4 separate regions of the Mus musculus genome follow, and all the other regions are reported to be linked to region 1. The links are microRNA targets in miRTarBase. Many come from high-throughput screens and were not tested one by one. Region 1 holds a microRNA gene; each other region holds the end of a gene's coding sequence.

The links. The annotated mature microRNA mmu-miR-24-3p reads UGGCUCAGUUCAGCAGGAACAG and lies in region 1 at 1,666-1,687, opposite strand. An mRNA with a match to its seed (bases 2 to 7 or 8) in the 3' UTR can be bound and repressed. Matches are read on the target gene's strand: a 7mer-m8 pairs with bases 2 to 8, a 7mer-A1 pairs with bases 2 to 7 and ends in A, and an 8mer does both.
Region 2: the mRNA of Ccdc85b is a reported target of mmu-miR-24-3p. Seed matches in the 3' UTR shown: 8mer at 504-511.
Region 3: the mRNA of Negr1 is a reported target of mmu-miR-24-3p. The part of its 3' UTR that is shown has no 7-base or 8-base seed match.
Region 4: the mRNA of Vav1 is a reported target of mmu-miR-24-3p. Seed matches in the 3' UTR shown: 7mer-m8 at 2,851-2,857 and 8mer at 1,850-1,857.

Annotation. Positions count from the first base shown.
Region 1 is chr13:63,299,491-63,302,937 of GRCm38, reverse strand. It overlaps Mir24-1 (microRNA 24-1), which reads right to left and starts at 1,730; the gene lies at 1,663-1,730. It overlaps Aopep (aminopeptidase O), which reads right to left. Exons shown (of 16, transcript NM_001289926.1): 16 at 61-3,447. It overlaps Mir23b (microRNA 23b), which reads right to left and starts at 2,454; the gene lies at 2,381-2,454. Mir27b (microRNA 27b) reads right to left here and starts at 2,226; the gene lies at 2,154-2,226. It also overlaps Mir3074-1 and a transcript of Fancc not described here.
Region 2 is chr19:5,453,863-5,457,309 of GRCm38, forward strand. It overlaps Ccdc85b (coiled-coil domain containing 85B), which reads right to left. Exons shown (of 1, transcript NM_198616.4): 1 at 1-3,447. The coding sequence ends at 2,927. It overlaps Fosl1 (fos-like antigen 1), which reads left to right. Exons shown (of 4, transcript NM_010235.2): 3 at 551-658; 4 at 1,030-2,076. The coding sequence ends at 1,446. Among named protein-coding and RNA genes, the nearest start is that of Ccdc85b, 2.0 kb to the right of the region's middle.
Region 3 is chr3:157,312,410-157,315,856 of GRCm38, reverse strand. Negr1 (neuronal growth regulator 1) reads right to left here. Exons shown (of 7, transcript NM_001039094.3): 7 at 1-3,071. The coding sequence ends at 2,947. Among named protein-coding and RNA genes, the nearest start is that of Gm22458, 52 kb to the left of the region's middle.
Region 4 is chr17:57,327,155-57,330,601 of GRCm38, reverse strand. Vav1 (vav 1 oncogene) reads right to left here. Exons shown (of 27, transcript NM_011691.4): 27 at 1,366-2,951. The coding sequence ends at 2,898. Among named protein-coding and RNA genes, the nearest start is that of Adgre1, 30 kb to the left of the region's middle.

The DNA of each region.
Region 1 (3,447 bases):
CTCAGAGGGGCCTTACAGGGTGTGTGGTTCTTAGTCCACCTCTAAGCAAGGCCAGAGTGCTTCTGAGAGCAGGAAGGCATAGACTCAGCCATTTATTTCAAGTCTTCACAGAAATCAGGGTAACATTAAGTAGAATTAACACACTTTGATACTTGTACCATTGTGGTATACAAAGCAGATAACCATTTGCAAGTCCCCTGCAACCATCCAAATGCAGTCACTGCTACAGCCCAGGCTCTGAAAACCAATGGTTCTGTGCGGACGCTCCTCTCAGTCTGTCCTAGAGCCTTTGTCACCCAGCAGGTCTGGGTGCAGAAGCCTGGCCAGCCAGTGGGATGCTCCTTCTGGTTCCTCTGTCCACCGCTCTGCCTTGGCTGGGCTCATGTGACTGCACTGATGGCTCAGTCTCAAGCACCGTTCTCTAGACAGTGACTGAAAGAGCTTAGAGCTTGTTCTGAGACTCCGCTAGTACCAGGCTGGCTGAAACTCCACATTTGGAAGAGAGCAGAGTCCCAAGCCACACTAATTTCCCTTTACTTCCAACCTTTTTAGAATTAACATTACCTGGAGGTAGGAAGTGTGTGGAAAGTGCCTGTTCTGACACACGTTCTTCTTTGCTTTTAAGGAGCATCAAATTCAGAAGCAAACTGGAACACTAGCAAATCTGGTACTTTATTAAGACATTTTAGGCTTTCCTGCATTTTCAAAAACAGGAATGCTCTGTTGACTGAACACATCAAAAGGGCTTTGCAGAATCCTTGGGGACCAGCCACAGGAGGTGTCACATGATTCTGCAGTCTCAGAGCATGGCAGCTAGTTTTTGCAATCACAGGAAGCAGGCAACCGGCTCTCCATCTGCCTAGGGGAGGGTGTCCTTCATTGAATGACTGCCTTAAAGTCACAGCTCAATTCCAGTGTGTAGACTCAGTCTCTCTAGGACTGGGAACAAAGGCAGCTGCCAGGTGCAACAGTTTATGAGGCTCCGCCTTTTATATATGCCACGGGAGCCCAGTCTCTGGAAGCCCAAGATGGACCAACCACTGCTGTGGGCTGATGGCCTTAGCAGCCACATAATCCTCCCTTTGATGTCCAGGGTCAGTGCAGTCCTGGCCCCACCAGGGCTAGGAGAAGGTATATGAGAATCTCACTGTGATCTGTCCTGTGGAGGAAACAGCAATAAAATTTATTACCCAGTCACCACAGCCATTCCAACAGGAGTCCTCCCAGCCTCTGACCTCCACTTGAGAGGGAACTTTTCATGGGAGGACAGGGGCAACACTGAAGCCACACCTCACAATCCTGGGTCTGGGGTGCACAGTCACGGCACAGGCCATGCAGGGCTGTGAAGCCCAGAGAGGTTCAGAAAGGCTCTACAGACAAGGCCCTTCAGACAGGCATTCTCACTGCTCAAGGCAGCGGTGACATGGTGTGCTCTGCCCCAACACGTGGCAAATGCTCAGCGCCTGCCCTACCTGCTTCTAGGGAATGCAAACTTTCCAAGGTTAGCTCTGCACTCTACAAATCCCCACCTCGGGAGCACATACAGAGGGATACCACTGCTGTTGGGTCTGGTACCAGACACTCAGGCCCTTCATCTTCTTCTCCGTGGGAGGCCTGCCTCAGGCACTTACAGATGGGTAGGCTTTTTGCTCAAGGGCTCGACTCCTGTTCCTGCTGAACTGAGCCAGTGTGTGAAATGAGAACTGATATCAGCTCAGTAGGCACCGGAGGGCGGGTCCAATCACAGCTGGGCAGTGCCTCCTGGCGTGCCCTGGGCATCATCTTGCCAGCGACTGTGGAGACATGGAGACCTGGACTGCAAATACAAGAAAGAGTTCACCACGCCCAGCAGGGACAAAGAACCACACCCCCACCCATCACGTGTGGCATCAGCTGAGACAAGGTTGGCTCAGTTTCCTTGATGCACCTGGGTTTAGTTTTCTGTGACTCCCAATACACTTGACATTACAGTGAACTAATTAGCAGTAGAACTGTATTTTCTGTAGACACACTTAAGGGTGGTCAGCACGCTGTTTGCACTCTTGACAACACAGCCTTGAGGCAGGCTGGTCTCTCCTCCTCTGGAGTGACCACCAGGCAGTGGCCTCTGCCTGGCAGCTGCAAGTTAACTGTCCCCATCTCACCTTCTCTTCAGGTGCAGAACTTAGCCACTGTGAACAAAGCGGAAACCAATCACTGTTCACCAATCAGCTAAGCTCTGCACCTTGTTAGAGAGGTCATCGCCGGCCATAATTAAAGGGCTGGTGAGCATCTTCGAAGGCTGTTGGCTTCTTTTGTTTCCAAAGAGCCACAAGGCGCCTCTGTTCTCCAAACTGCAGAGAGAAAGTAGCCACGGTTCTGCAGGAGCAGCCAAGGTCATGGTTGCGTGGTAATCCCTGGCAATGTGATTTTAATCTCAAGTCACAAATCAGCATGCCAGGAACCCAAGCAGCCAGAGCAGGTGAGGGCAGCACCATGCCCAACCACTCCCATCCACATGTGCTGAGTGTCCTCCAAACCGCCTCTGAGCCCACCACGCTAGCAGTGCAGCCTGCTGTCCTTCAGCGCGCTGGCTGCACTGTATAGAGGAGCATAGGGGACTGGGAGACAAAGGACACACTTATCAGCTATGAGACCAATACCTTAGGGACCATCCTTGCTCTGAGTATGTGGCCTTTAACCCTGGGACACACCCTGTTCTCCAATTGCAGACTGAATGGGTTGGGATGTCTCTGGGCCCCTCAGACAGCAGGTGTGGTGTGTAGGGAGGGAGCATCTCTCTGGCTTGCCTGTGACCAAGCATTTGGTTGGATAAGCTGAGGCATAGCACAGAGCTCATAGGGGACCTAGCAAGTTGAGGATTTGCTCACTCAGGGGGCAAAAATACTCTTAGAAGAGTCACTAGGACCACTATGTGACTATGGCTTTCCTAAGTGAAGGCCTAGGGACCTAAAAAGGGAACAGTGGCTTTACTGTGTGACCTTCACACACCACATACCAACAATCCCTCAGCTTACAAGTTTCTAGAGAAATGTCTGCAGGAGGCAGTGAAGAGGCGCCCCGACCGACTCTGTCTATCCACACAGGCCACCGTCCTAGCTTGTAGTGTGCAGGCTTAGCAGGCTGTACCTGCTTACTCCAGCCCACTATCTCCCCTGCTTGACTGTGGCGGTCCCCAGCTCTTCTGCAACAACATGGTCATACATAGTAACATGTTTTCCCTTCATCAGTGTAGTTCTTCAGAAAAATAAACATTACACAGAAGTGGGTTTTATAAAAGTGAAATGTGAAAATGTAAATTTAATGTCTGACAATGGGTTAAGATTAGCAACACAATTCTAAATATTCATTAATTGGTAATCATAGAGAACAACAGAGTAACACAGTGATTGATGTAAAATTTCAAACATATACAAAAGTAAACATCATATGTACCACCATGGCAAG
Region 2 (3,447 bases), not on the chromosome of region 1:
CATTTGCCGAGCTAGCATGTACCAAGCCATGGGTTTGATCCCTAGCACTAAGCAAAAGAAAAGTCCTACAAAGGGCTTTGTTGGCATAGTAGATTGATTCCCAGTAGCTTTTGGCACTCAAGAGCACCTTCTACAATTCACAGCTCCTGGGGGAAGAAATCCCATCTTCCACAGATGAGGAGGCTGAGAGTCCTGTGAAAAGAGATAATCATGTCTCATACACTCAGGAGAGAAGGCTACTTCTGCCTGAGAAATGAAAAGGCTTCCTGGGGTCCCAACATCTTAGTCCAGTCCTAAGATGCGGAAGGGAGGAAGATCAAAGTTTACAGAGAGGGAAAGCATTTCAGGAAAGAAACCAGCAGTAAAGCTAGGTGTGTGTGAGCTGGAAATGTCACCAATGAGATGACAAGCGTCCGGTACAGAGAAGCAACTGTGGAGTGTTGGGTGGTGGCACCTAGACTACAGACTGAAGGAAAGCTGGATGACCAGCTCAGGGCAGCTGGTGGCTCAGAGTCAGCCTCATTGTCTCCCTTCTTCTATCCCAACCTAGATCAGCCCAGAGGAGGAAGAGCGCCGCAGGGTGAGACGCGAGCGGAACAAGCTAGCAGCTGCTAAGTGCAGAAACCGAAGAAAGGAGCTGACAGACTTCCTGCAGGCGGTGAGCATCATCCCCAGGCCCGGACCCACAGAGCCCCAAGAGGGGTCTCGGCTCCCAAGAACACAAAAGACCCAAAATTACTCCTCAGGACTCTGTCATCCTCCCTGCCTGTGGGGAAGTCCTGGAAAAAGGATAAGGGAAAGTGGCTTAAATATTGTTTGTCGGGCTTCGAGGCAGAGTCGAAGATGGTAGGCAGCAATTCTCCTAAGATGCCCCCGTCTGATGGGAGTCATGGCCATTTTCTCCCAGAGGCTCACGGGAGGGAGTTGCAGTCCAGACTTGTTGGGGATGACAGGCACAGTCCCTACTCCAGCCTGAGGCTTGGGGATCTTTAGCCTTCATTTTCCTATCTTTCTGCTAATCCTGTAAAGGAGACCGACAAATTGGAGGATGAGAAATCGGGGCTGCAGCGAGAGATTGAAGAGCTGCAGAAGCAGAAGGAACGCCTTGAGCTGGTGCTGGAAGCCCATCGCCCCATCTGCAAAATCCCAGAAGGAGACAAGAAGGACCCAGGTGGTTCTGGCAGCACCAGCGGTGCTAGCAGCCCACCAGCCCCCGGCCGCCCAGTGCCTTGCATCTCCCTTTCTCCAGGACCCGTACTTGAACCGGAAGCACTGCATACCCCCACGCTCATGACCACACCCTCTCTGACTCCTTTTACTCCGAGTCTGGTTTTCACCTATCCTAGCACACCAGAACCTTGCTCCTCCGCTCACCGAAAGAGTAGCAGCAGCAGTGGCGACCCCTCCTCCGACCCCCTGGGCTCTCCTACACTCCTGGCTTTGTGAGGCACCCAGCCACATCCCTTGCTGGTGCTACTCCAAGCCATCCCCTTTCTCCCATTGATCCAGCAGGCCTGGACCATACCCTTGCCCCAAACCAGCAGATCTTTTATCTCTTCCGACTAGAACAAACACATTATGCTTTGATGTAGAGCCAGCTTGGAGGGGATCCCCAAAGCTGCTCACTGTTTTTCTAGAGCTGGCCTATCATAATTTGCACAAAATTAGAGGAAAATATGTTCCCTCTGCCAGAGAACGCCTGGCAGCCCAGACTTTGTAGATCCCCAGGGGTCCTTTGACACCCTTACCCCTTGCAGACCACTTTCCCACACCACGTCACTTTCTTCATGTTATCCAGCCTACTCTACACCTAGACAGAAGGTGCCCTTTGACTAGCCTAGAACACTAACTCACACAGCATCAACAGCCAGCAGCACCGGACATCCTGCAGGCTCCTCCTGAATGGCACAACGCAGGAGGCGCCAGGGGCTTCTGTGAGGAGCGGAGCTGCACTCCCTAGCTCTGAGAAGCGCTTAGCTTCAGGGTATCCGAGCCTCCACCGCAAGGGCAGCTGCTATTTATTTTCCTAAAGAGACTATTTTTATACAAACCTTCCAAAATGGAATAAAAGGCTTGAAGCTCTAGTCTGGGTTGTCATGTTGGATCCAGAGGCTAAAGGAGACCATTTGGAACAGGAGTTCCAGGTTCCAGTCTCAGCATTGACCTTGAAGAAACTACCATATGTTTTTGGACTTCCATATTCTCACCTGAAGAATGGGGCGACCCTCTGCTCTTCCTTGTCTCCTATACTGAGAGACTAAGAATGCTCTGGAGTGCAAGCAAAGAAGATTATCAATTATTTTCCCCATGGGAACCCACACTGCTCCTGTCTTAAGGACTGGGGGGGGGGCAGGGAAGGCCGGTGGTATATCCTTCCACCATCCATGCAGGCGGTTCAGTGGGCTTTAGGCCCCCAACACCTGCTTCCTGTCCCATTGTTTTAGACAGGAAGGAGCCTGGAAGGGAGCTGGAGCCACTACAGCGGCCGGATTTCAGCCTGTCTTGGCGCCCATCGGGGGAGTTAGTGGTCTACCACCGTCTCAAATCCCACCCCAATCCCAGGTAATAGGGAGTCAGCCCTAGCTCTGCAGTTCCTCCGGATGAGAACTGCACTGCATCTCTGGGTTTACGCCCTCTTCCCAACCCCGGCGAGTTCTAGACACAAGCTGGCCAGGCTTCGGGCTCTGCTTCCTTCCCAGTTTATTAGTCCCCACCCAACCACACAGCAAGTCCCTCCACTTCAGCCTCCATTTCCCCTGCTGCTCTGCCAGCAAGAGCAAGGAGCCCTCCTCAGTGCCAGGGCTTTTCCAGTCCATTCCAGCGCCCTGGTGCTCAGCCGAAGCTACGACCAGGTCTGGAGGTCCACAGCATTCCCCGAGCTCAGGGAGCAATCCAGGCAGGCATTGGCGTGGAAAATGCGGCGCCCTCAGTCATCAGGGGAGCAGGCTAGGGGCAACTGATCCGGGCTGCCCACACTGCCAGTGCTGGAACTTCCATCGCCTAGGTCGCGGGGCCCGCACGGTGGCAGGGCGAGCTCGGGTGTGGGCCCAGCACCTGAGCCCACTGCGCCGCCGGGGCCACCGCGGGGGCCCCACTCTTCGCCCAGTGCTAAGCAAAGCTCCTTAAGGGCCAGATTTTCCCGCAGCAGCTCCTCCTGGCGGCCTTCCAGCTCCGCTAGCTTCTGCCAACAGCCACCCAGGTCCTCGCGCACCGCCCGGGATGCTTGGGTCCCAAAGAGCTGCCACTGGCGCGCCGCACGCCGTCCTCGTTGGCGCTCCGAGTCCAGAAAGCAGCAGAGGTCGCGCAGCTCCCGGTTCTCCGCCTGCAGGCGCCGGTTGAGCTGTTTGAGCTCACGGATCTCGCCCAGGTGACCCTGCAGCTGCCGATTCACCTCCTGCATCAGGCGGCCGCGCTGCACTAGCGCTGCCAGGCGCGCCGCCTCCTCCC
Region 3 (3,447 bases), not on the chromosome of region 1:
GCACTCAGTACTGTGGCCTGGGCAGTGGAATCATTCAATAAATTCTGCCCAGCAGGACCACAGGGTATAGCAGGACTTAGGTGTAGAATAAGATCATTGGGAAAAAATTCGGCCATTTGCAGTTAAACCAAGAATGCAGTCCAATAGGCTCATCAGCAGAAGATTCCAGCTCTCCCCCACTCTCCCTCCCAACCTCTTCGCTTCCTTCAGTCATTTCTGTTTATCCCCCATACTCTTTTTTCCTTTTCTCCATTTTCACATTCTCCTTTCTCTATCATCATTTTTTCCTTCTTTCTTTAAAAATTTAGGGGCAACAAAAGGAATCCCACAAATGGATATTGTGGAAAACATAACGCTGAAATGAATAGCTAAAGAAATTGTTGTAAATCAAAAGATAAATTAACTTCATAAGACTGCTATTCTGAAATTGCAACAATCTTGTACAGTCAGGACTGATAAAATGGAGTAATCAGACATTTCAGATGCCCGTCAATGTAAAATCACCTACTTGAACATTATATGCAATACATTCACACAAAAAAGCAAATACTGTAGCCTTATTTGAACAATACTGAACTCATAAATACTCATGGTTTCACTCTGTCCAGGCGCCTAAGGACTATGCTGCTGTAATACAGAAAAACATAGCGGATGCCTCCTCTATTAAAATGTCACTCAAGAAAGTCTCTTCTAACATAAAGGCAAATACATGTAGCTACTGAGCTATGACTGTCCTTTGTCACACTCTATGGAAAAACACCGGACTCCACGAATTCGGAATCATGACAACACTTAGAACTAATTATTTGGTTCATCTGTATTTTATACCTCAGTTTACCTCACATGTACCCTACACACCTTACACAGAGGAGGCATTTTTAACTCTAGGGAAACGGTCACTGTAGAATACGCATTCTCCAACTGCTTCTCTCCCCAAACAGCGGTTCAGGTGGCCAACACTCCATGGTAGCACCGCTATCTCTAAAAGTAGGTTATTGTGGAGTGTGCTACTTTAAAGCTGCAATACAAAGAAAAATAATTCTGTTGTTTGCTCACTAATTCCACAAAGAACATTTTTAGTATCAAATCACCTAGAAATTTAGATGCCATAATTTTCAAAATTCATTTTTAATATATCAATCAAAATGACATAAATTTATTACAGCTAGTAAATTTCATAGCATTATGCCACATTATTGCCATTTCATAGGAAGACTATGTATTTATGTCTCCTCACTTATGATTCATTTTCCTAATTAAAATAGATTTATGGTGTCTTTTGGGTCTAAAATTTGTTTAGAAAAGAATCAAAAATTTAAAGCCATCCTTCCAGGGCAAAACATGAACTACCTAAAATAATCACTGTAAAAGTCCTTGGGTGTAGTTTTGAGAGTAGGTCTTTATTTAGGGTGTGCAGAAGGTCACTGTAGAAACCTAGGCGTGCTGAAATTGGCAACTTCATCAGACCTGAAAAATGGCTTTCAAGGCTCTGGTCTTTTCTTTGGTCAAAAGCAAGACCATGAGCCTATTCCTGTAATATAGTAGTTAGACTAACAGCATTTTCCTTCAAAAATGTAGTTTTGCTTCTTGAATAGAAAAAATGTAATATTCACAATCATTGAGTGATTAACATATCCCATGATGCCCTCCTTCTGGTGTGTCCATTTGGTTGCATCTCACATATGTCCTGTAAGATGCAGTGAAACATGGTGAGTCTTCAGTTTTGGCATCAATTTGAGTGGTAATGACTAACAAGATTTTGGTGAAGAATTAGTTACTTCAGGGCTGATCTGTTATGCATGGATGCCCAATATTTGTTAAAACACATTTTGGAATTGTAAGGAACATAAGATGCATTCCTATCAACCAAAGACGGAGAATCAGATGGAAATCTGCAGGGTTTCTGTCACAGTAACTTACTGATGTCAAAGCCTAATCTGAGCACTCGCCACCTCATGTCTCTTGGGTGGCAGGGCTGTGGTCTATGCAAAGAAGCTATGTTAGGGTATCAACTTGAATAGTGCAGGAGACTGCTGCTTTACCAGGGGTCTCTTGAACAGGCTGTGCTGTCCTGTGATGGGCTATGTTTTCCCACAGTGGCACTAATATTAAACCTGAACTTCAATCATGTTATTAAATTGTTTTATCAAGAAAACTGAGATGCTGTGGGCAAAGTTCTCAGGCTCAATGGGTAATGACTAGACACAGCCTAATAGCTTCTTGGCGCCCCCCAAAGTGGGGTGGAGTTTAGCTTATTGGTGTAATTTACTTTTTTGCTTCCAGATTGCAAGGTTTAGGAAAACATTATGTATTTGTCAGAGACCAAGAGATTATTTTATGAAGGCACACCCATGCTGAGATTAGAAGGAGAAGCATAGCGAGTTATATTACAAGGCTCATTTCCAAAACCTGGATGTCATGCGAGCAGGGACGTCTAGGTATGTGTTACATCTTGAAGAAATGATCTGAAGGCAATATTATTTGAATTTTTATCAAAAAAGAAAAAAATGCATCTTTGTAAATGTGGGTTGACTCTTATTGAAACAGGGCATGGAACCCTTGTATTGCAGCCTTAAAGAATTATGGGTTCACTGCAATATTTGTTATGTAAACTACAGCCGGAAGCCTAGCAGACCACGACTGAATGCTTTTGAAAAGTTGTAGATTACAAACATGAAATCACAATTAATATCCTCTAAAAGTAAGTTCAGACCTTTCACATCTTAAAAAAGGGACAATGTGCAGTGCTTCACAAGGTCGTGTGTCTAATCAAAAGGAGAGGAGAATGAAAGTATTTACACAACCAGCGATTCCACAGACAAAAGGCGTCACCCGCGTACAGACGGCCGATTGTATCCCACGCTGCTTCAAGCTAACTGCACCAGATTGGATCCAGCCATCAGCACTCCCAGAGACTCCTTAAAAGCCTTTCATGGGTCTTTAGATTCATTGAAGGATAGCATTCTTCAGGTAGAATATACTGATGACAGAAGATAGTGTCAACGCAAGGCTCCAGCAGGAGAAGAGGTCGCAGGCACTCCCAGTAATTCCATACTGGGCTGTACTTGGAGCTGGAAAGGAATGGAAGAGAGTCAGTCAAATATAGTTCTCACCTTCTGGTATTCTTGACAATATCCAACTGGGGTGGTGCTGGGGGCAGAAATGGTTAGCCTCATCCGGCCTACTAGATTAACCTTTGAGGTCAGTTTTTTTAAGGGCAAAAGAGCCATAATAAAATCCACCTCCCAGAGCTGTGGTGTAAACTGGAAATGAGCTTCTGGACCCAATAAGGTCCAATGATGCTCTTACTCCTCCTAAGTGTACAATAATTATTTGCGTTCACAGGCAATATTCACTTATGCAGACATTTGCGAAGCTTTCATGGAACAGCCAAATACTACATCAAATGCTGGAAAAACAAACAAACAAAAGTAAATTTTCCTTTTC
Region 4 (3,447 bases), not on the chromosome of region 1:
TCCCTCTTTCCCAGCACCCAGAGAAGACACTGTCTGCAGTTCTCCAGCCCAAGCTGTCTGGCAGCTCACTGACAGTGTTCCAGACAAGAGAGAGACCCTGTCTCAAAAGAAACAATGACGACCCATGAGCAATGACACATGTGCAGGCATACTTACATTTACATGTGCACTGGCACACATATGAACACACGTGCATATATGCACAAGAAGAAAAGAAGATACAGATAATGTGGCACCTCTCTCTCTTCTGGAGATCCTGTGGAACATCCCAGGGAGACCTTATAGCCCCAAATCCTTATCTTGGGCTCTGACTGCAGATGGCACAGCCTAAGACACCAAAATTACGATGGTGGTGCTATGGACATGCTTGAGAATCATATGGGAATCCATTCTCTGGCGATGGGTAAGGGATTAACTTGATTAGGCTAACTGACTGTGAGTGGCCCCATCCCGTGGGCTGGGGTGCTGCTCTGAACACCAGCATTCACCTCTCCACTTTGTAACTGTGGATGCTGGGTGATCAGGCAGCTCACACGCCTGCCACCATGCCTTCCCTGCTGTGGTGGACTGGGATGGGGACCATGATAAATCTTTCTTCCTGAATTGCATTTCCCAGAGTATCTTATCCCACCAATGAGAAGAGCAGGTGCCACGAAAATGTGACACTTTGGAGAATGAAACAGAGTGCCTGGTTAGCTCTAGCTGTCAACACAGCTACTCTGAGAGAGTCTACACTGAGTAACTGACCAGATTAGACTGGCCTGTGGCCATGTCTGTGAGAGATCATCTTAACTGATGTTGCCTGATATGGATGGAACCATCCCTAAACAGGTGGTCCAGGGCTATATAACGAAACCAGCTGAGCAACTGATGGAAATAGATGCAGAGACCCACAGTCAAATATTAGGCAGGGCTTGGAGAACCCTGTGGAAGAGGGGGATGAAGAATTGAAGGAGCCAAAGGAGTGAAGGGTACTCACAACAAAACCCACAGGATCAACAAACTTGTGCCCAAAGAATCTCACGGAGACCGAACTGCCAACCAGGAGCATGCATTGGGATGAGCCTAGGCCCTCTCTATATATGCCACAGTTGTGTAACTGGGTCTTCGTGTGGAAGTCCCAAAGCAGGAGACAGGGCTGTCTCTGACCCTGTTGCCTGCCTCTGGGACCCTTTCCTCCTACTGGGTTGCTTCATCCAGCCTCAACAGGAGAGGAGGTGCCTCATCTTACAGCAACTGCCACCACAGGAGGCCTCCCCTTTTCAGAGGAGGAAAGCAAGGGGGAGGGGTGGGGGAGGGGGAAGGGGAGGGGCGGGGGAGGGGCGGGGGAGCTTGGAAGAGAAGAAGGATGGGAAGCTGCCATCTGGCTATAAAGTAAGTAAAAACTTTATTACTGAAAAAGAAGAAAGGATGGTAGCTGGGCATAAAGCCAATAATGAGCCAGTAAGAGCATCCCCCGCCCCCTGGCCCCTGCTTCAGCTCCTGATTCAGCTCCTGCCCTGACTTCCATCAGTGACAAACTGTGGACACTGGAAGTGTAGCCAAAACATACATCTTTTCCTCCGCGGGGAGCATTAGGTCAAGTCGTTTGCCACAGCAACAAAAATCAAAGTAGGACACAGGTCACAGATAACTACACCAGGGCAACAGGCAAAATGAGCCTGGGTAAACCAGAGTGCGTGCGGTTGTTCTACCTGGCGGGCCAAGAAGGGTTCTGATGTGAGCAATGTCGTCTCCACAGGAAGCAAGGCAGCAAAGGAGAGCTGGCTATCTCCTCAGTACACCAGAGCCAAGGTTTATAGGATTTACCCTAGATTTTTGAAGAGCTTATTTTGAGAGGTTGGAGAGATGGCTCAGGGGTTAAGAGCACTGACTGCTCTTCCAGAGGTCCTGAGTTCGAATCCCAGCAACCACATGGTGTCTCACAATCATCTGTAATGGGATCTGATGCCCTCTTCTGGTGTGTGTGAAGACAGCGAGGGCGTACTCATATATATAATAAAGGGGGGGGGGGAAGAGAGAATATATTGAGGTTTTTTTCCCTTACTCAGCGGAAGGAGAGAACTCAAAACATTAACTTCTATTATAAGGAAGCTGAGGCAGGAGGATGACAAGTTGAAGTCCAGCTGCAATATGTTCAAGGTCAGTCTGGCCTATTTAGCAAGACCTTGTCTCGAAGATTTTAAAGGACTGGGAGTGTGGCACAGCAGTAGAGTCCCCTCCCCTCCCCCAACCCCACTACCAGAAGCCCACAATAAGGGCTGGGGCGTGGTCAGGGGGTGGAGCCCCACCCAGAATCCCCCCAGTGAGGAGTTAGGGAATGGTTGTGGTGGATCCCCTGCCTAGAATCTCCCAGTGAGGCGCTCAGCTGTAGTGTGTCTTCCTATCATGCTGAGGTCAAGAGGTCTTTCCTTGGCGTTGAGGACAAAAAGAAGGGAAGGGGAGGTATAGACTTGATTTCTGCAATCCAGACCCTGTAAAGACAGCACTCTCTTCTGCTGCGTAGAAATCCCAGGTCTCCTTCAACCTGTACTGTAAAAGTCAGAGAAGGGAGGCCTTGACACAAGGAGGGCATTGCTTGAGTGAACTTTGGTCAGTGCGTGCCCACCCTGTGGCTCCCCTTACAGTCAGTCTGGAACACGCCAGTTCCTGCTCTCCTCACTTTATTAGAATCAGTTGCCTCAAGCCCCACCTTTCGTGGAGGACTGGAGAAAATCAGTGTGTTATAAATTACGCATCTCTGGGCTTTATCCTGGGAACCCTGCCAGCTGGCCACTAGCCATCTGCACGCCATCCAGATCCTCCGCTGGTGAGGACAGTTCATGGCCCCTCAACCCTGCTAGCATCCTGGGCTCAGCCTTCATCTGCCTCTCTCTGTGTCCTACAGGGCACCAGGCTCAGCAATATTCGGAATAGTCTTCCTCCACATAGTTAGAAGGGAACCAGCCGATCTGCAGAGAGAAGAGAAACCCATCAGAAAAGCCACTGTCATTTTCATGCCTCATCACAGCAGGTTGGACCCCTCTTGCCTTGGGGCTTTCACACTTACTGCTGACTTCTCCTCTGTACACACATGAGGATGGCCCTCCGACTCCTAAAAGTCTATGCTCATGTGTCACCTCGTCAGTGAAGCCTTCCAGTCACCCTGCTTATCGTAGTAAGCACCACACACTCCACACACTCTCTCTCTCAACTGTTCTCCGTAGAACTTTACCATCATTTGAATGATCACATATTCTGCCTATTTACAGGATTGATTGCTAAACCAATTTCCCTCCCCCAACACAACACAAGGTCTACAAGGGCAGGACGTTTTGACTCCCTCTCACCAGACTCCCAAGAGCCTAGAATAGACCCCAGTGCTCAGTGAACACTTTATTAATATCTCTTGGGATGCTGAGTGGACAGAAGGATGGATGAGTGAAAGGTAGATAGGTAGATAGATAA